6 linked regions of the Danio rerio genome follow. The protein of the gene in region 1 interacts with the protein of each later gene in a pairwise test. Links are inferred from orthologs where the notes say so. Each region holds a gene or a part of one and is shown in the gene's direction. Other genes may lie near its edges.

What was found.
Region 2: the proteins of sat1b (region 1) and dipk1b interact in binary tests that used the Homo sapiens proteins (3 or more experiments, as listed by UniProt). The two-hybrid records come from large-scale screens. The link is inferred for Danio rerio from reciprocal best matches to the Homo sapiens genes SAT1 and DIPK1B.
Region 3: the proteins of sat1b (region 1) and taco1 interact in binary tests that used the Homo sapiens proteins (3 or more experiments, as listed by UniProt). The two-hybrid records come from large-scale screens. The link is inferred for Danio rerio from reciprocal best matches to the Homo sapiens genes SAT1 and TACO1.
Region 4: the proteins of sat1b (region 1) and tcf25 interact in binary tests that used the Homo sapiens proteins (3 or more experiments, as listed by UniProt). The two-hybrid records come from large-scale screens. The link is inferred for Danio rerio from reciprocal best matches to the Homo sapiens genes SAT1 and TCF25.
Region 5: the proteins of sat1b (region 1) and kcna4 interact in binary tests that used the Homo sapiens proteins (3 or more experiments, as listed by UniProt). The link is inferred for Danio rerio from reciprocal best matches to the Homo sapiens genes SAT1 and KCNA4.
Region 6: the proteins of sat1b (region 1) and rbm17 interact in binary tests that used the Homo sapiens proteins (3 or more experiments, as listed by UniProt). The two-hybrid records come from large-scale screens. The link is inferred for Danio rerio from reciprocal best matches to the Homo sapiens genes SAT1 and RBM17.

The regions. Positions count from the first base shown.
Region 1 is NC_133199.1:25,853,383-25,857,639, forward strand, and holds the start of sat1b (diamine acetyltransferase 1b), read left to right. Parts: upstream 1-1,457; 5' UTR 1,458-1,634; coding exon 1,635-1,700; intron 1,701-1,977; coding exon 1,978-2,029; intron 2,030-2,106; coding exon 2,107-2,190; intron 2,191-4,257. Other genes in the region: acot9.1 (acyl-coenzyme A thioesterase 9, mitochondrial), read right to left, coding at 619-707, 896-909. UniProt on the Homo sapiens protein: Enzyme which catalyzes the acetylation of polyamines. Substrate specificity: norspermidine = spermidine >> spermine > N(1)-acetylspermine. This highly regulated enzyme allows a fine attenuation of the intracellular concentration of polyamines.
Region 2 is NC_133196.1:8,505,297-8,507,575, reverse strand, and holds part of dipk1b (divergent protein kinase domain 1B precursor), read left to right. Parts: coding exon 1-15; intron 16-296; coding exon 297-473; intron 474-2,279.
Region 3 is NC_133187.1:9,860,724-9,864,943, forward strand, and holds the start of taco1 (translational activator of cytochrome c oxidase 1), read left to right. Parts: upstream 1-1,420; 5' UTR 1,421-1,623; coding exon 1,624-1,939; intron 1,940-3,529; coding exon 3,530-3,636; intron 3,637-4,220. UniProt on the Homo sapiens protein: Acts as a translational activator of mitochondrially-encoded cytochrome c oxidase 1.
Region 4 is NC_133193.1:32,710,062-32,714,206, forward strand, and holds the start of tcf25 (ribosome quality control complex subunit TCF25), read left to right. Parts: upstream 1-1,345; 5' UTR 1,346-1,424; coding exon 1,425-1,589; intron 1,590-3,878; exon of another isoform or gene 3,879-4,008; intron 4,009-4,145. UniProt on the Homo sapiens protein: Component of the ribosome quality control complex (RQC), a ribosome-associated complex that mediates ubiquitination and extraction of incompletely synthesized nascent chains for proteasomal degradation.
Region 5 is NC_133182.1:32,643,678-32,646,169, reverse strand, and holds part of kcna4 (potassium voltage-gated channel subfamily A member 4), read left to right. Parts: coding exon 1-492; 3' UTR 493-1,731; intron 1,732-2,492. UniProt on the Homo sapiens protein: Voltage-gated potassium channel that mediates transmembrane potassium transport in excitable membranes. Forms tetrameric potassium-selective channels through which potassium ions pass in accordance with their electrochemical gradient.
Region 6 is NC_133179.1:26,155,775-26,159,274, reverse strand, and holds part of rbm17 (splicing factor 45), read left to right. Parts: intron 1-2,534; coding exon of another isoform or gene 2,535-2,537; coding exon 2,538-2,611; intron 2,612-3,374; coding exon 3,375-3,473; intron 3,474-3,500. UniProt on the Homo sapiens protein: Splice factor that binds to the single-stranded 3'AG at the exon/intron border and promotes its utilization in the second catalytic step. Involved in the regulation of alternative splicing and the utilization of cryptic splice sites.

The DNA.
Region 1 (4,257 bases):
ACGGCCAATTTAGTTTATCCAATTCACCTTCACCTACATGCCTTTGGGGTGCAAGAGTATGGATGTTTCCCAGTGTTTGGTTGCAGCTAGAAGGGCATCTGAATGAATGAATGAACATTTTACTCTAGCCCACAATAATTCTAAAGAAACTTTTTCAATAGCTGTGTATTAATGCATGTATATGTATTTATATATGCGTATGTGTAAAACTTGTTCAGGCAACGCAGTGGCGCAGTAGGTAGTGCTGTCGCCTCACAGCAAGCAAGCTTGCTGGTTCGAGCCTCGGCTGGGTCAGTTGGCGTTTCTGTGTGGAGTTTGCATGTTCTCCCTGCGTTCGCATGGGTTTCCTCCGGGTGCTCCGATTTCCCCCACAGTCCACAGATATGCGGTACAGGTGAATTGGGTAGGCTAAATTGTCTGTAGTGTATGAGTGTGAATGAGTGTGTGTGGATGTTTCCCAAAGATGGGTTGCGGCTGGAAGGGCATCCGCTGCGTAAAAACATGCTGCATAAGTTGGTGGTTCATTCCACTGTGGCGACCTCAGATCAATAAAGGGACTAAGCCGAAAAGAAAATGAATGAATGAATGACTTATTCATTTTTATATATATAAAAATACCATCTGCCATATCAGGTGCTTTCCCTTGTCTACACATTTGCCCCATAGAAAATCCTCTACACATCAGGGACGATGCAGACTTCAGGACCCTATAAAGAATAAAAAACGTGTAAATTCGTGTCTATGGGGACATTACAAAACTACTGATAGCCACGTAATAAAATTACAATAAAAAGATGAACAAAATGAGACAGAACTAGTCTGTAACTCTTCATTCATGACTCACAAATGATGTACACAACAAAAGCGGGACGCAAGACATAATTGTGAAACTCACCGCGGAGAAAGCATCTTCCTTGTTCTTGGCTCACCACTTTATTGTATAATAACACGGATTTTTGCTGATATAAACAACCGCACGCTTCTAGCAGAGATGTCAGCCTTCTGGGCAGTGATTCGCATTTCCTGAAACGTATAGTGGTGGGTGCGGCTTAACTACCGCATTAACCATAACAAAAGCGCATCTTTAAGGAATTTTCCTTCACTTAACGGTTCAACCTTTACCGTAAATACGACATAGTTTTGAATGTTTTCAGTGTGATAAGCGGGACATATAAAGTTTTGAGAAACGCTCTTCAAACAACGTTTGACATGAACTTTAATCTTTTCTGCATCATTATGAAGGAAATGTCGTTCAAACTAACGTATATTCACCAAGAGCAACAACATTCCTACAGTATTTTGATCTTACTTATACATATTCATCAACAAGGGCTGTGCGTCATGACGAACCTCAAATGGACACCTCCTATTGGTTCGCGAAAGGAAAAAAACGTTATTATGGTGATTAAACCCCTCCCCGCCGGCAAATATATGCTCGACATTGATAAACAAAGGACATTTACTGAAGCCAGGTGAAATCCGCCGGGTCAGTTGCTGCATGCGAGTCCCACACAGGAGAAGCCCAAACTTGACAGCGCAGGGTAAAACCCGGGACAGCGAATGAAGAAACACCTTTTGCTTCACTTCACATATAGAGGACTAGTGAGAAAAGGGAAAAAGAGTAAAAGAAGAAAATGGCCAATTTTAATTTGCGTAAAGCGGAGCCCAAAGACGTGCCTGACATATTGCGACTCATAAAGGTAGAATTGTACAATTTATATATATATATATTCGGACTACAGAATATTCTGTCGAAACTTCTTTAACAAGTGCATAAATATTCCCGTTTTGATGTCCTCTCCTAAGTACTAATTTAAAAAGTTATTGTCACACTTATTTTGATTTATTATGTTCAAATGGTTACAAAATATCCAAATATGCCCTTCTATGACAACAACCCCTATAGGCCAACCGCCTACAGGACTTGGTGTTCGTCCAACTGTTCTGAAAGCATCTTTTCTTTACTAACTTCTGCAGGAACTCGCGAAGTATGAAGAAATGGAAGACCAAGTTCTTATAACTGAGAAAGGTGAGGTCCGTCAACGTGTCTGATGTGAGATCTGATCAATATTTTGCCCACAGTTACAACAATAGTTTTGTGTTTAGATCTGCTCGAGGACGGTTTCGGAGAGCACCCGTTTTACCACTGTGTGGTCGCAGACGTGTCAGCCGAGCATCAGAAAGTCGAAGGTAAAACACTGACTTTAACCTGTTGAATATCCAAATAGTTCGTTTTTTGGGGGGTTCACTAGAAGAAGTTTGTTATATATAACTTATATTTTAGCTAAATGTTTTAAAATACGTATTTTACTAAAATACTTATTTTTACTTACAGTACTTTAAAAAATTTGTATGCATGTGAATGTCTTTTTTTTTTTTGCCAAAATAATTAATAAAAACTGTAATCCACTAGCTTAAAGTGGTAGTTAACCCAAAACAGAAAGGTCTGTCATTATTTACTCACCTTTCACTTGTAAAAAAAAAAATATTTACAAACAAATAAAAAAATAAATACATTTGAATAACCTGGCTTTAAGGGATAGTTCACCCAAAACATAAACTTGTCAATATTTACTAACCCTTGTTAAAAACTTGTTTCAGTTTCTTTCTGCTGAACACAAAAGGTGAAACAACCAGAAAAGCTGTAACCATTGACCTCCATAGTATTTGTTTGTTCTACAATATAAGTCAGACGGTTACCAGTTTCCAGCTTTCTTTAAAATGTCTTTTTAACTTAGCAGGAGAAAAAAAGTGTATGCAACTTGGTGTGTAAATTTAAATGTTTGGTTACACAATCCCTTTAATAGGACTACCAAATATAATACGTGTCAGATGCACATTAACCCATGTGTGCTGTTGGGGATGTTTTCATTCACTCTGGGGTGATTTTGAGTCTTAATTTAGCCACAATTTTCTCTGCGTTTCAGCAAATGGAATGATTTTTGGTGACATCTTATTTAGACACATATTTTGGGAAAATGCTTTAAAATATTTTCAAAAATTCAATAATACACTCTGGCCAAATGTACTACCCTTTTGTTATGTTCTTGGCTGTTTTTGCCGAATTGACTCTCATTATAAGTACATTTTGTAATCATGCTTTTTGATTGTTGGTGGTTTTCCCTGTTGGAAAGAGGTAAATGTACAAATTTTTACTGTTGATCATCAGTTGCAGAGCAAAAAAAACTTATTTTCTGGACAAAAGTTATATCGTTGTATGAAGTATAGTGTGTGTGTGTGTGTGTGTGTGTGTGTGAAAGAGACCTTTGCGCACTTACCTTTATGTTTGAGAAAATACAAAAATAAGCAGCTGAGTTCTCAGAACATATACTAGTACTTATATCAAGTGTATTTATGCACGCACACTATAATCTGCTGTTTTCCTCCATAGAAAAGTCAGAAACTTTTTTGCACAGGTCTATCTAAAGAGTTTATGCTTTTAACTGATGATCAACAGTAAAAATATAAAGATTTATCTCATCCAAACAGGGGAAAACACCAACGATCAAGAATGCACGATTATTTGGTGCCATGGCTTTGCAATAAAAAAATGTCGTTATAATGGAAGTCAGTGGAGCAAAAACAGCCACCAACATAACCAAAGGGTAGTCAATTTGAACAGTACACAAGTGTAATTACACTTAATATGTGTAGTTTTAGAACTTTTCTCTTATTTAAAAAAACGCACTTTACACCTGAAACATCCGTGTTGTTTTCTGCAAGTCCAAATTAATCAAATGACACAACTTTTTAAATAATAAAACTTCAGTCACATTGTTCTGCATTTTAAACATATTGGATAAATATTTGTCACACTTTATTTTGCAGTGTAACTATACATTTAAAGTCCCCAAGAAATCAAAACTAATCATAGGATTTTGTTAGCTCACATTGCCAGTTTTGTGGTGAACAATTTATCTGTGCATGTCATTAAGAAAAAAATGTTTGCCCTTCTGATCTTTAATGAAAATCTGAAAATGCACTTCCTGTTTGTTTACAGTTAAATTATCATATTACATTACTTAGAGGTAATGGGCGTGGCTAACATATTTAATCAGGCTGGTTCAACTGTCAGTTTTGACAACAAACAAATGGTGAGGAGGAGTCTGTTAAGTTGTAATAACTCTTCTAAAAACCCTTTACTACATCCATTTAGCCTGCGATAAAAACAAAACAAAACAAGCAATGCCCACTGTTTGCTCATTTAAAATTCGGTTTCTCTAGGAACTGTGTCACAATACTTAAAATAATGATCAC
Region 2 (2,279 bases), on another chromosome or scaffold:
TCCCCAACACACCAGGTAAACAACAAAAACCAATTAAAAAAACAGAATAATGAAATAATAATGGGTCTCCTTTACTAAACATCCCTGTGCACAAATTATCAAAAACAAACAGTTGTGTGAAAAGCTCTTATATTGAGAGTGTATTATTCAAATTACTAACAGATAAAAGAAGTTTAAAGTTGGTATGAAACTTTAAGAACAACATATGCACGTGTTGTATGAAAAACGTACGCACTTATTGGATACAAGACACAAATGGCCTTTTAGGCAATAATATAAAATTGTTTGTGCTGCAGGTGTACAGTGCTGTATGGAAGGAGAAGGCTGTGTTAGTGAAGTGTGGGATTGAAGAGAGCATTAGAGGAGAAAATGGTCTTGATTCTCCATTACGACATGACAACAACCTCTACGACAAACCCACTCGCGGAACGTCCATGGATGAATTCAGAGCGATGCTGCATGCCTTCCTCAAGGTACCTCAATCTACTAGAATTCAGGATATAGTAGCGTGCTCGTTCCTGGAAGAATACTCAGGACTACATTTAAGGCATTTGCATTCATTGAAAAAGAGTGTTCAGGCCCTGGTATACTTCAAACTGTTATTTTTTGTTTGAGGCCAAAAAGAAGTTGAGTAAGTATACTGTTTTTAAACCTTCTGACAGCCCTTTGCTGCAGTAGGGGTTGTAAATGTCTCACACCGCTCAAGTGGACTCCTAAACACAACAACAATGGTAATACTGTGATGGTATGTTCACACCAGATGTAGATGAACCATAAAGCACAAGTGATTTGCATGTTAAGTCAATGCAGAGACGCCATCAGATGTGCGAATTCGCACGAATTGAGAATTTCGGGTGTTTGACATGCAAATCACTCTAGTTGAAAAATTAGAACTGTGGCAGATTTCATACCATGTTAACCAATCAGAAGCTTGCTTTAGTGGGGGCGTGATTATGATGTAGCGTTTGCAGTTGGTGTCCCAAAGGAAAAAACCCTGCCGACAAGGGACAACAGGTCATCAAATTCAGTCAGAAGTACCATTGAAAGTGTCTGTCATCCAGGTGCAGCTTCTGAATGAGTTGATGAACCCACAGAGCTAGGTGCACCTCCAAAGGATCCGATGTACCAAGACACAGCGCCGAATGAATATATGTTGTTTTTCAGCCTTCCTAAGACACTATTAATCTTTTGATAAAATCCATGGTAGCCATTAGCAATGAAACTGGAGTTGTCGGCCGACAGACACTCCTGCCATGACGCAAAGCCGCATCTGTCTTGAAGTGAATTTTACACGCGAATAAAGCGAGTAAACTTAAAATGTTCACGCATCTAATTACATGTGAATAGTACAACATGTTTGTGCAAGCCACATCGAGAGAAGTCAGCTGAGGTGGCTCAGGCATCCGTTTCGGATGCTTCCTGCACGCCTACCTAGGAAGGTGTTCCAGGCTTGTCCCAACCCGGAGGAGGCCTCAGGGAAGATCTAGGACACACTGCAGGGACTATGTCTCTTGGCTGGCCTGGGAACGCCTAGGGATCCCCCCGGGGGAGCTGGAGACTTCTGCCCCCGCAACCCGGCCCCGGAAAAACAAATGAAAATGAGATGAGATTTGTGCAATCAGTACCAGCTTTTTGACTTGACTCTCCAGTTTGTTCATGTTGCTAATTTAGGGTGCTTTCACACCTACACTTTTGTTTCGGAACCTGTCTCGTTTGCCCAGTTAGCGCAGTTCGTTTGGCATATGTGAATCCACCAATCGCTCTCTGATTCGCGCCAAATCAATTGCTCCGAGATCGCTTGAATGAGGTGGTCTCGTCTCGATTGAAACGAACTAAGGAGCGGATCGATTGCAGTGAGAAAGCAAACGATCCGAGCGCGGTTACATCACAGTGTTTTATGGATATGTAATAGGCAGACGGCTATATGAAGAGAGAATTATGAGTAGGGCGGGAAGTTTCGCGAGTCTCTGGATGCCCGCAAACAAGTGATAATCTCCCGGTAATCGCGCATCTCCCTCTCTTCGCGTGCACCTTGTCAAACACCACCAAACCACCACCTCTCCTGACAGCTGAGCGGGACTCTGCAAAATAAACCCCGACACTCTGACCAATGTGAGGAGAGTTTACTCACACGTGACTTGTTTTAGCTCTTTTGGTCCGATTGGAAACTTTGCAGTGTAAAAGCGAATGGCTCCAAGAGCAACAATGTAACATTTGTAATCTCTGTTTTGGAACAACTGAATCGATTCACGGGTGTGAAAGCATCCTTAGTTTCATTG
Region 3 (4,220 bases), on another chromosome or scaffold:
TACTCGCAAAACAAAGGAACGTTTTGCAAAAAAAAATAATAATAATAAAGTATTGAGCAAAAAATAAATAAAAATAAATGCAAATCTCCAAAAATTGCAAAGTGAAAATCAATTTTTGAGAAATAAAAATTAATTTTGCTAACAAAAATAAAGAACTGCAAAGGGAAAATTAAGTTTTGAGAAATAAAAATTTAATTTGCAAACAAAAAAAAACTGCAAAAAAATCAAGCTATGCAAAATAAAGCTAAAATATTTGCGATAAAAAATATATATTATATATATATATAACTATATATTGGCAACACATTTTTTAAGCATTGCCTTTACAAAACCCGTTTAGTCAATTGCAATGCTCTTTTAGATTTGCTTTTTAGTCAACCGTGAGTTTTCGATGCTGTTTTTACTTTGCACTTCACATTTTTGTGGGTTTCACTTTGTGGCCCTGATTTGACAAGGGGGCGGTGTCTAACTTTGACGTTTACGGCAGGGCCAGACCTGCCTCTATTTACTTTCTATATGGCCCTATATTGACTCCATGGAATTTTCTCAGTATTATAATTACACAAGAGCAAAAAAAAATGTAACTCCGTAATTTAGAGAAAAACTAATTTGGGATAAAATTCCACAAAGTGGCAGGATTTTTAAGATGCTGATTAATCCACTTAATTTTGAATGAATTAACATTAGTAAAACTGATGAAATTAATCAACTTTTCATAATTATTCAAAATTACAGATTTTTTAATATAGTGTTTCTTATTTTTCCATAAAAAAAATTAAACAAGGATTGATCAATTGTCTTAGAAGTCTTGGTATCCACATTGAGTGATTGGGTCTAAAGCAGACCCTCTTCTTTAGAAAAGTAAAGTTCTACCCTTAAGGCATCTCTTGACTACAACTACAGTTGAAGTCAGAATTATTAGCCCCCCTTAGATTTTTTTTCTTTTTAATTATTTTTCAAATAATGTTTAACAGAGCAAGGAAATTTTCAAAGTATGTCTGATAATATTTTTTCTTCTGGAGAAAGGCTTATTTGTTTTATTTCGGCTAGAATAAAAGCAGTTTTTAAATTTTTAACACCATTTTAAGGTCAATATTATTAGCCCCTTTAAGCTATATATTTTTTCGATTGTCTACAGAACAAATCAACTTGCCTAATTACCTTAACCTGCCTAGTTAACCTAATAAACCTAGTTAAGCCTTTAAATGTCACTGTAAGCTGTATAGAAGTGTCTTGAAAAATATTTAGTAAAATATTATTTACTGTCATCATGGCAAAGATAAAATAAATCAGTTATTAGAAAATGAGTTAATAAAACTATCATGTTTAGAAATGTGTTGAAGAAATTTTTTGAGGGCCACCTCACATCTCACCTCACATCTACTCTGAGTACTTTTATTTTGAAATTAGTGTAACCGGTGATGACGTTTATGGTGTTGCTATCTCTTGGACTCGTGCGTTAAGAAGTCGCTCTGCTTAATTAAATGACTACAAAATTCTAACATACACATTTAGTTTACTGTCTTTAGTAACGGAACGCGTTATATCAATGAATGTTCTAATCATGACCGCAAAATAGTACCTGAAACTCTCCTGTTAACGCGTGCACGACGCTGGAAGCGTATGATTTTAAAGCAAAGGCAGCATGACATTCTGACCAAAGTCGTTTGCTTTGGAGTCAAACACACAGCTCATGTGCCCGGTGAAAGAAGAGGAATGTTAGTGAACATCATGCTGAGGGCTTTCAGGTTGTCCAGGCGAGCGTCTGCGGTGTTTCAGTGTCCAGTCCTTCACCCATGTAGAGCTCTGCACTCCAGTCCTGTGAGCTGGGCAGGACACAACAAATGGTCCAAAGTGAAGGATATTAAAATACCCAAAGATGCTGCTCGAGCCCGGGTCATTGCTAAGTACACCATGATGATTAGGATTGCAGTCAGAGGTGAATGCATGATATTTGAGTGAAAGTCCAAGGTCAAGTTGGTTTTAAATTCACACATTTGGACTTTCTCCTTAATGTAGTTTCAGAGAATATTGTTTTTGCCTAAATATGGCTCATATTAGCAGGCAATGACTATTCAAGTACAACATTGCTCATAGTCAAATAAATAATGCTAATGTTGTTTTTAAGTCATATTTACATGTAATTTCAGAACTAATATTCAAATTACCATAGTAAACTATAAAGGGAGCCTCTCACAAGTTGTCACTGAGCAAATGTGCGAATATAAAACCAGCCTATAACGTTAGAGCTAAAGTTGGTTTTATATTCAGATATTCAGACATTCTCCTTAAATATATAATTTCTTTAAAGTATACCTTGCAAATTCTAAATTGGAAAATCATATTAGCGATCGAGTATTAAAAGTAACATGGTAAACAATATAGAGACTGCTAAAATAACTAATATGCAAATTTAAAACCAACTTTACCTCAATAAAAACCCATCACTGGCTAATAATGATGCAATTTGCTGACGTGATGTTATAGTTTCACTGTTCCACCTGACTAAAATGATTGGAATTAGTATTGTCATCATTTAAAAACAAAAAAAGGGTAAACATTTTGTCTTCCATAAGCCTCTTGTTATAAAATAAAAATGCTTTTATGAAATTTTTAGTCAAATCTCAAATCTGTTCTGAGTCTGACTCCTGTCTCTGGAATAGTTTAATAAATTACAGAAAATTTTAAAATGATTAATAAGTAACTTATGTCTAATTTTAGTAAAGCATTAAAAATATCACAATAATTCTTTAGTCTATATGTTTCTATTAATAGTGGCAATTCCACTGAAAATTGTGAATTAGTTGAAGGACCCAGATCATGACCTGCACCAGTTTAATTGTTCTCATATTAACCACTGTTGTTAAGTTTTGTTGTTATTTAGTGTGACACCTGTTTATTAAAAATGTTCGACAAGTCAAGAAAAAAAATCATGATTCATGATTTCATATAAAATAAATGGCACAAAATGAAGCTACAATTCAATAATAAAAAAAAACAGTGAAAGAATTGACAAAGTTGAAAAAAAAAATTGACAAAGACCACTTTTTATTGTTAGACCTCAAACTACATGAATATAAAAAAAAATCTCAAAAACGATTTTGCCAAAAAAAGTTTTTACTACAATAGAGGTTAAGTTAATTTTATATTCGTATATTCATGCATTCTCCTTAAAAATATAATTTCTGAAAAGTATTCTTTGCAAATTCTAAATAAGAAAATCATATTAGCAGCCAATGACTATTAAAAAACAACCATGCTTACAGTCAATTAGATAGTGTTCGTGTTGTTTTCAAGTCATACTTACATGCTAATTCTGATTGAATGTTCAAATTAGCATGGTAAACAATATAGTGACAGTTAAATGAACGAATGTGCGAATTTAAAACCAACTTTACCTCAATTTTACTACATATTTGTCAACTACACATGTACCATAGTAATACTATGGTATACTTCAAAGTACCATGATGCCACTGGGTGATTTTGCAGTGACTCTGTGTTAGATGACCAGGTGTTTTTGTTTCAGAGGGAGGACCCAATCCAGAATTAAATGTTGGACTGGCACAAATTCTAGAGCAGTGCCGGAACAAGAATCTGCCCAAAACCACCATTGAAGGAGCACTAAAGGGAGCCGTAAGACTGTTTTAAATATCTACTACTTGCATAAATAAATGACATTAGGTATTTAACAGGATTTGAAGAAATACTGTAGTTTGCACAAAATATAAGATTCAGTATTTTTTCTTAGCTTCAGTTTTTCCTGTTTTTTTCACAACCCCAAATCAGATGTTTAGTATGCAAAAAGCAAATGAAAAGAAATGATTTCTAAATTTACTTTGACTTTTATTTGATTGCAGACAATACAACAGCACATTATTTAATGTGTTTCTCATGGTTTTTAAAAATAAACACAATCCAATTTTGGTTCTTGTAACATATTTAAAAAAAAGGTTGGGACAGTAAAGCATTTACCACTTTGTAATGTTGCCATTCCTTTTTACAACACTTAAAAGACATTTAGCGACTGAAGACACCAAGTGATGAAGTGTTTCAGCTGTAAGTTTCTCCCATTCTTCCTGCAAACATGTCTTTAGGTGTGCAATAATACAGGGTCTTCATTGTCCCATTTTGCGCTTTAAAAATGCACCACACATTCTCTATTGGAGACAGGTCGGGACTGTAGGCAGGCCAGTCACGTACCTGTATCTTCTTCCTTT
Region 4 (4,145 bases), on another chromosome or scaffold:
CAACACATTTGTAAACATAATAGTTTTAATAACACATTTATAATAACTAATTTATTTTATATTTGCCATGATGACAGTAAATAATATTTGACAAGATATTTTTCAAGACACTAAAGAGCTCAGAGTGACATTTAAGCTTAACTAGGTTAATTAGGTTACCTAGGCAGGATAGGGTAATTAGGCAAGTTTTTGTATAACTATGGTTTGTTCTGTAGACTAATTCGATGAAAAAAAATTTTAGCTTAAAAGGGCTAATAATTTTGCCCTCAAAATGGTTTATAAAAAAATTAAATCTGTTTTTATTGTAGCCAAAATAAAACAAATAAGGCTTTCTCCAGAAGAAAAATATTATCAGGCATACTTTGAAAATTTTCTTGCTCTGTTAAACATCATTTGGGAAATATTTTTAAAAAATCCAATGGGGGCTTATAATTCTGACTTCAACTAATGTTCTTACACATTGCCAAATTTCTTGTTTAAGTCATTAGGTGGTTTTGATTTACTTTTTTATAGTGTAGGCTAATCATTGTATTGACAGATAAATTTAAAGTTAATATTGAGATTCAATTGGCAAGATTTCATCAACAAGCTCTCATTAAGTGGACGTTGGCCCAAGCATATTTCCACTCTAATGTATTACATTTGGAATAACAGAAACATTTTATATAACTGGTTTTAAAACCATATACTTTTGGTCAGTCAGTTGATCAATAGTAATGTTATCATACACAAATTTTTGACAAAATTAAAATTGCAATTATGCCCAGAGATTATGCAATTATAATGAATTTTAGGCTACCTCAAAATGTATTAAATCTCTTCTTATAAACGATTGCAGCAAAAAACTAATTTGAATAATATAACTAAGACAATATTCATAGCAAATTTGAATATTTTAAAAGACAGCAATCCAAATAAATGCATAAAAAATTTAGTAAATGATGTTTTATCCTACAGCTTGATACATATATTTTTTTTTTTTGGTCATTAGTACTTGCAGACTTAATGTTGTGTAAGGCTTAAACATTAGTTGATAAATTCTAAGCAATGTTATAAACATCATTTTCTTTATTACAAAGAAAGAATTTATCCTGTGAAACATATATTGGAACATTTTTAAAATAAAGATGGACTACTCCTGTGAAACTTGTAATGAAAAAAAAACTAATTGTCTTATTTTTTCATTGTACTATTTATAGAAAGATATTCTGGGTTGATGTCATATCTTCATACTCCATCGCAGTAGGTGGCAGCGCCCTATTGAGTGTTACCTTACAACTCGCCTTTAAGCTAAACGAAGAAGAAGACCAGGAAGGGGTAGAGGACTAGTAAGCCTGTTTGTTTCAGTGCAAGTTTGTGAAACGAGTGCGCTAGTTCCTATGGGCTAGATTCGTGGTTATTGATAAGTTGTGCTGACGTCCAACATGTCGAGTCGCGCTCTACGTAGGCTGAAGGGCGAACAACGCGCTCAGGCCGTGTTACAAGAGCACGAGCTTATTAAGGAAGATGACAAAGATGAAGAAGAGCAGATGAAGATTGCCGAACAAACAACCCGTAAACCGAGGAACTTCAGCAGCTTATTTGAACTGGTAACACTATGCATATTATATTATCACAATGCAGTGAGTGACATGATCAAATGGCATTACTTGAAAATGGTAATACTGAATTGATTATGGCTGGTGCAAAATTCTTTTGGTTGTTTCACCTTAATAGAAAAAGAAATAATAATAACAAACAAGTAATAATTCTGAAAAATTCTTGCGATGCAACATAAAAAAGTTAAATTAAATAATACTTCCCATTATTATTAACATTTTAAGTATGCACTAATAATAATAATAATAATAATAATAATAATAATGTATTATGTATAATATAATAATAATGGTTAAAAAAATAAAAAATATCTTTAAATTTCTCCTATTTTACCCTTTTTACAAGATGTAAGATAAGTCTTTGGTGTCTCCAGATTGTGTCTTTGAGTAAATTTAAGTATAAATTTAGGGTACAAGGAAATTATAGCTGTATTTGTAACCTGTGCCTTCAAATGCAAATGAGCTGGTTCTACTGTTCAGTCTAGGGATGTGAACTTATAGACCAATTGCCATGATTGTAAACATTCAGGATGCTATGCCCTAAAGAGTGAAATCATATTAGCAGACAATGACTATCAAAGTGTTCACAGTCATATAAACAGTGTTATTGTTGTTTTCAAGTTCTACTTGCAGGTTATTTCAGACCGAATATTCAAAATGCCATGGTAAACAATATAGGGAGTGTGTCACAACTTGTCACTAAATGAATGTGTAAATATAAAACTGAGTTTACCTTAATAACTTACACTTTCACGTTTCATTCTTTGCATTTAGTGTCCGCAGTTTAATTTACCATATGTAACTGTTTTTGCTGAAATCATTTCTGCAATCAAAAATGAGTAATTTGTATGATTCAGCGTAGCAGAGTCCAGCATTTCTAATAAGGTCGTCACTTCATTCAGCTCTCTTCTAGCCAAACTTCTGCAGTTGGCATTAAAGCAGTGTGGTGTATGGTAAAAGTTAAGTTTTCTATTCAAATTTGGCACAACACGACATGTTTACTATTGCAGCCTGTCTATTTTTGCAACCGGGGACCCGTGTGACGTCATGCGTGACGTAGGTTGATAATTGGTCTATACTGGTCTCATGGTTTACTTCATTTACGATTATCATGTAATTTGTTCGGTATCATGTAATCTCAGTGCATTGGAGATGCTTTCCATAAACATTTTGATATTTTACTTGGCAACACAATTGTTCTTGTTAGGTATGCTTATTTCAGCTAATTTTGCCAACCCACAACCACTGTTTGTAAGCTGAATATTAACCGTTAACTGGCCAGATTAATGTTAAATTATTATTTAAAAAAAAAACAATTGACGTGTCTATTTTGTAGAGGTGTGAACATACACTGGTCTCAAAGTTCAGTTACGATTATCATGCCATCGATTCAGTTTAATTTGATATCTCAGTGCACCATGGTGTGTTGACTACGCTTTATATACACAATTTTATATTTTACTTCACAGCACAAGAAAATTGAATGAAAATATATAAATATTGTTTGTAATACAATTTTGTCCTTTAATACATACAGTCAGAACTGTACCTTTAAAAACTTAAAGCATCAACATAAGCATTTATACGCTTATTTCACGTGGCCGACATTTTAAAGAACCAAAGTGAGGATGCGGTGGGAAGAAACTCGGAAGTATATGACTAACACTGTAAACATTGCAGCAACATGCTGTGGACTACAAAACTCTAGCTGTTGTCGCGATTTTAAAATGCAGAAATGGGGTAACCATCACTTTAATATTATTGAGTAAGTTTAATTTAAATAATTAAAAGCAAATTAGGCATCAAACAACATTACAATCTCTGTAAGAGTAATATGCTCAAGTTTCCTGCTAGGCTTCAATTCATGGCATCAGTTAAACACCGTGTGGACGCTTTCCTGCTTCAGCCTATGTAACACGGTGAGCGATAAAACACTGCAGCCCTCTATAGCACACCCTCATGTTGTCTGTAATAGTGTTGTCTTTTAAAACTGGCTAACGTTAAAGGGCCGCTTCGTACTCCAGTCTCCGTGTATTTGTGTTTGCACTAAGTTTACTGGTCTTCACCCAGTGCAAACACAGATACACAGAGACTGGAGCGCGAAGCAGCCGTGAAGATCAAGATCGAGTCATTGAACAGATCGCTCGGCTCATCTGTGTTTGTTCTCAGTAAATCAGCGCTCTTTTAAGAAAGCCATCAACAGTGCCTTAAAGGGCCATGAAACCCCCTCGTTTCAGCAGGGTGTTTTCACACCTCTACTTTGGAAAAAGTCAGAAAAGTGGGCGTGTCCAGCTCTGTTTAGGGGGGAGTGTCGGAGGAACTAAAGTGGGAGGGTGTGGGAGTGTCTATTTGGGCACGCGCAAGTTTCAGTCAAAATACTTACACACAGGAGAAAGAGATGGTGTTTAACCTACATGGACATCTGTAGTGGAATTATTTGCCAAATTATTAAATGGTGGACTTTAACTGCAGTTTGGCTCTTTCATTCAGGGAATTCGTTCATGCCCCTCGCGACAAACGAGATATTTGATTCGAGGATCTGCTCTA
Region 5 (2,492 bases), on another chromosome or scaffold:
TCCAGCGCGGTGTACTTCGCAGAGGCGGACGAGCCCACGTCACAGTTCACCAGCATCCCAGATGCGTTTTGGTGGGCTGTGGTGACCATGACCACGGTGGGCTACGGTGACATGAAGCCCATCACGGTCGGGGGCAAAATCGTGGGCTCGCTGTGCGCCATCGCCGGCGTCCTGACCATTGCGCTTCCAGTCCCCGTCATCGTGTCTAACTTCAACTACTTCTACCACCGGGAGACTGATAACGAGGACCAGGCGCCCGCCGTGGAACAACCCCCACCGGGTTGCCCCTACTTTCCGGATTTCCTGAGAAAATTCAAGGGGTCCCCATCGGGCTCATCTTTAGGTGACAAGGCTGCGGAGTACATGGAGATGGAGGAGGGCGTGACGGAATCTCTGTGCGGGGGTGACACGCAGAGCCCGAGCAGAGGGAACGGTACTGACTTAGGCGGGAAAAACAGTTCACATTCACGAACCCTACAGACAGATGTATGATTATGGAAGAACGATGACCTTTCATCATGATGACTGCACAAATGAATCAGTTAACAGCACACACATGCACAACTTGAAGACACACACAGTACGCGCGTGCGCAGACACACTGTCTCACACACATTAAGTTCTGGACCTGAGCTGAAACTTTTTTGCAATGTGGCTGGCTACTTTTGTAGAGAAACATACCCTGTAATCACATGACAGGCAACGCAAAAATCACCAGCTTTACGTGACGTGGAGAGGTGTCTCTATCTGCCCGCCTGTTCAGTTCAGTTGACAGAACCGAACGACTCCCGGTTCATTAAATGAAGGAACTTGCATAGGCACTTTATGAGTTACATTTGTCAGTAATTGTAGGAAAAAGAGGCGAGTTCTTATCTAATGCTATTATGCAATAACGTTTAAATCGTTTGCACTATCATCAATTATGTTCTAGTCTCCCACTTTAATGCAGAGGAAAGAAACACTGAGCTAGAGAGAGAAACGACCCCATAGCAATCATGTTTTAAATTGCATTTATAATTAATTCCAAACAATAGCAAACATACGCTGTCCACGACCAATTCAGCTAACAGGAAGGAATTTGTTTCACTATTAGAATTAATTGGAGAGCAGCATGTTGCATAACTTAAGGCTATGTTATCTTAAAAATCCCATTGTGGCAAACATGTGTCCGCATGGCAGTATTCAGTATGTACTACACTCTGGTAAAAAACCCTTTTAGCACACCCTGTGTAGTTATTTGTGCATCGTCCAAAGTGACTAAAGAGTCATTATAGTCGGTCCCTTTTGTGAGTATTGAAAACAAACCAATCATGTTCGTTTTTGTTCATTAGCACAAGATCCACACCACACTACAGTTCATCCATCACGCGATCTAGGCGTCATTCTTTCGCAGCATTATCACATACAGAGTCCAAAATAACCGGTTTGCATTGTCTCACAAAGTAAAACACCTTGTACAACAGAGTCCACACCGACACCGTGGCTTGAAGGATCAGTTTGGCCACTGTTTTCAAGTTACTGTCTTGGGAGTTAATTTCAAGGGGAATGCTTCATGCAACTATCTTGTCTTCATCCCTTTACCAAATGACAATGCATCCCTTTATTAAAATGCTGGCGGAAATCTACAGCACTGATGGGAACATGAACTTGGTGGACTTCATGCACAGCGAATCCTCGTCTCAAAGGAGTGCACGATGACCACTGAGCATGCGCGGTGCATCGCAAACCCAGGTAAGTGTTTTCTGCTGCATCAAGACTCAGTTCAGTCACTCAGTCACGCTGTCATTACTCATGCTCAGATTTACACGCCGTCCAGATGTTTACGCATGTGCGCAGGTGTTTATGCATCTGCGTGGACCCGCTAGTTGCCTGTCAGGCCCAGAAACAGGTGCTCCACGTGATCTCAGCAGGCATGTGATTTCAGATCTCATGTTTTCTTGTTTCATAATAATACATCAACAATGCCTTGAATTGCTTAGCAACAAGGGGCTTATTGTCAGAGAGACGACTGACTGTGCTGTGTTCCCTTGGAATCCAAAAATCCTCATTTGCTCATGAAGTGTGCTGAGCTTCATTTTTCTGATGTCATAATAACTATTACTGATTTTTCTAGACAAGATAATGACCGTTTAATCTGCAGTAAACTGAGATTTTGTCATGACATGCTACACTGAAAAATACGATTTTTGCTAAATTGTTGCAATCAATTTACACTGCTTTTGCTGCTTGTTCAAACTACGTATTCAAAATGAGTTGAAACAACACAATTCTTAAGTTTGTTTTGGGACAACTTAATTGTTTTATGTTCAGTCCACTTAAATTTGTGAAAACCACTATTTCAACTTAATTGATTTGTGTTGGAACAACATGAAGGAATTGTGTGGAACCCAGCATTTCTTTACAGTGCATACACTGTAAAAAGTAACTGTACCAAAAGCCAGTAAACCAATTCCTTTAAAAGCAACAAGTTGCCTTCACAAAGATAATATGAG
Region 6 (3,500 bases), on another chromosome or scaffold:
GGATTTTATAGTTATAAAATATTCCAATTATATTGGAATATAATTTAGCTTAGTATTCAACAAAGACAAAAAAAAAAAAAAAAATATATATATATATATATATATATATATATATATATATATATATATATATATTAGTGCTGTCAATCGATTAAAAAAATTTAACTAATTAATCACACTTTTTTTGAAAATGAATCAGGATTAATCACATTTAGACTGAAACTTGTAATTTTGGCTATTCAAATGTAAAATTAATGTAAACGCAAGAATTTTTTTTTTTTAATTCAAAATATAATTGGTTATTATAATTTTTGTTTAACTTGTAACACAGATTTCTTTATATAAACAACAAACCCACAATAAAACATCAAGATCCTGGCTTGACAGCCATTGACATGCAGAAATTTAAACACAGGCATGTTAATGCCTTTTGAATTTCAAAACAATCAATACCAATATAGAAAACATTAATTTCCAAGTTGGATTCTAAGTGGACTGCAAAAAATGCCACAATTCAGGCATTTCAGATATGGAAACTGGAAAATTATTATAACAATAATAAAGTATTGAATACAAACAATTGCACTCATTGCACAATTGCACTCAGTTGTATTGCTGTGAGCAACGCAATCTCATGGCAATTCGTAACTTTTTAATTTAGTGCGCGCATGCACACACACACACACACACACACACACACACACACACAGAGAGAGAGAGAGAGAGAGACAAAGACAGACAGACAGACAAACTCGCACAGGACAGCGCAGCAGGAGTGACTCCCTTCAGATTCAACACACATGATCACGTTCATCAAATTTGCTTAAACTAAGCGTTCTAAAGTATTGCTGTATTTCACAAGGATTCTGACACAACAACATAGTGCGTTGACACACTAATTTTGACAGCACTAATATATATATGTCATGCAATAATAATAATAATAGATTAAATAACAATACATTGAAATTTAATCATAAAATCAGCATATTAAAATTATTTTTGAAGGTGTAAAAACTTATCAAATATACAAATCCAAATGAGAAAAAGTTACGACAGTATGGAAAATGAAAGTAAAAAAGAAAGTAGTGATTTCTACATTTACTTTGACTTGTATTTCGTTGCAGACAAAACAACAAACATTTATTTAATAATGGTTGCCTGTGATTTTTCTTGTTTTTTTTTTTTTTTCCAAAATAAGCATGTATTCCAATTTTGGTTCTTGCAACACATTTCAAAAAAGCATTAACTATTTTGTAATGTTGCCCTTTCTTCACAACACTTAAGATTTGTTTGGAGGAAAAATGGGATAAATTTACAACTGAAACACTTCATCACTTGGTGCATTTTGTGCTTTAAAATGCACCACATTTTCTTTTGGAGAATTGGGACTGCAGACAGGACTTTGATTTGTGCAGAATGTGGTTTTGCGTTGTCTTGTTGACATGGGCATGAGCATCCCTGGAAAAGAAGGCAACATATTGTGCTCCAAAATCTCTACTTTTCAGCATTGATAGTTTTATCAAAGGGTACTGTCACAACCCCTCAGCTTAGGCTTGTGCCCATGTCCTTTACACACTGAAATTCTTCCAGATACCTTAAATCTTAAAATTATTTTATGCACTGTTAAAGGTGAAACATACAAATCTTCCTATCTTTCTTTGAGGAACTTTGTTTTTAAACATTACTAATTTTCTCACGTTTGTTGGCAAACTGGCAATCCATGGCCAATCTTTGCTCCTGTAGGACTTGACCTTTCTTGAATGCTGATTTGTACCAAATCATAATTACAATCACTTGTTGACAACACATGTTTCTAATCACATTCTTATCAATAACTTGTTCACCTGACTACTAGTCCTAAATTGCTCCTGTCCCAACTTTTTTTGGAATGTGTTGCAGATCTGACTGACAGGAAAGAATGTACATTTACAAATGAAATGAAGCTGACCGGACAAAACATGAAATATTTTGTGTCCATATTGTCTGCAATGTAATACAAGTAAAAAAAAAATTAGGAAATCACTACTTTCTTTTTTTATTTGCGTTTTCCATACTGTCCCAACTTTTTCTAATTTGGGGTTGTAGTATCGAAGAATATTAGAATATAATGGAATATTGAAATATAATAGAATGTTGTGATATTATGTAACATTGCATTCGTTATATATACTTTTACTTTATTTGTGATTGTAACAAAAGCTTTTAGCATCTGCTGTAGTTGATAAAGGTAATATTAATATAGTGTAATATAATATTATATAACAATTTGTGCACTATTGATTGAAACAAAAACTATACAAAAGCTTTGAATGTTATAGTATATATTTGCCAATGCTTTTAATCCACATGAAATGCCATACCCAGACTTCCATTAGCATTTTTAGATTTTATTGAGCGGAGTTATTTTAAAATAACCTTGTTCACTAAACATGTTGTTTAATTGTTATATTGTGTTTAAAAGAGGTTGTCTACTCTTTTGTGAAACTCTGTTTTATGATATAATTATAATTTGAAATATGATGTGTTTGTAGCAGATGCCTCAAAGAAAAACGAAACCAACCCTCTCACAGAGATCCTCAAATGTCCTACAAAGGTGGTGTTGCTACGGGTAAGTTTTATATCAATTCTCCTAAATAAAATAGAAATAATTATATAAAATATACAGTGCCTATAGAAAATCATCATACCCTGTGAAAATCTATACATTACACCCTGCTTTTAAAAGATCTTCAGGATAACGTAGAAAGGCTTAAGTTTGGAGAAGTCTACAAAAGGCTATTTGGAGTGTGATTTGATTCCAGGATGAATGACAAATAAAGTATTTATTTGCAAGGGGTATGAAGATTTTCTACAGGCACTGTAAATATTTTAAAATATGGATATATGACTTTGCAATATATATATATATATATATATATATATATATATATATATATATATATATATATATATTTTTTTTTTTTTTCCCGTATTTAAGTATTTCACCAGATGACTTGAGCTCAATTTGGGAATAATGGATTGTTTTAGGGTTATTGGTGTGATTTTGCTGTGGACAGAATTACATTAATTATTATAAACCAATTACAAGCATAAAATAATTACAACCTTGTTTGGATTGTTTACACACACAAAAAAAGACAAACTTTCGCTCCATTATAGTTAACATTTGAAAGGAATGCACAAATCATGTGTTATCTGAACTGGGCTGCCTTGTTTGATGAGGAATTAATTTTAATACCAGATGTCTTATTTTTTGTCACTTAATGTAATTTTTGCTCACATTTAACTTCTATACATTTGACAGCAAGTTTCAGAAATATTCAGGTCAGTTTGGTCAAAACCATTTGTTGTAATTATTGTCTTATATGTAGAACATGGTTGGAAGAGGAGAGGTGGATGAAGACCTGGAAGCTGAGACGAAAGAAGAGTGTGAAAAATATGGCAAAGTCGTTCGATGTGTCATTTTTGAGGTAATGTCAAACATTTTGTTCTGTGCT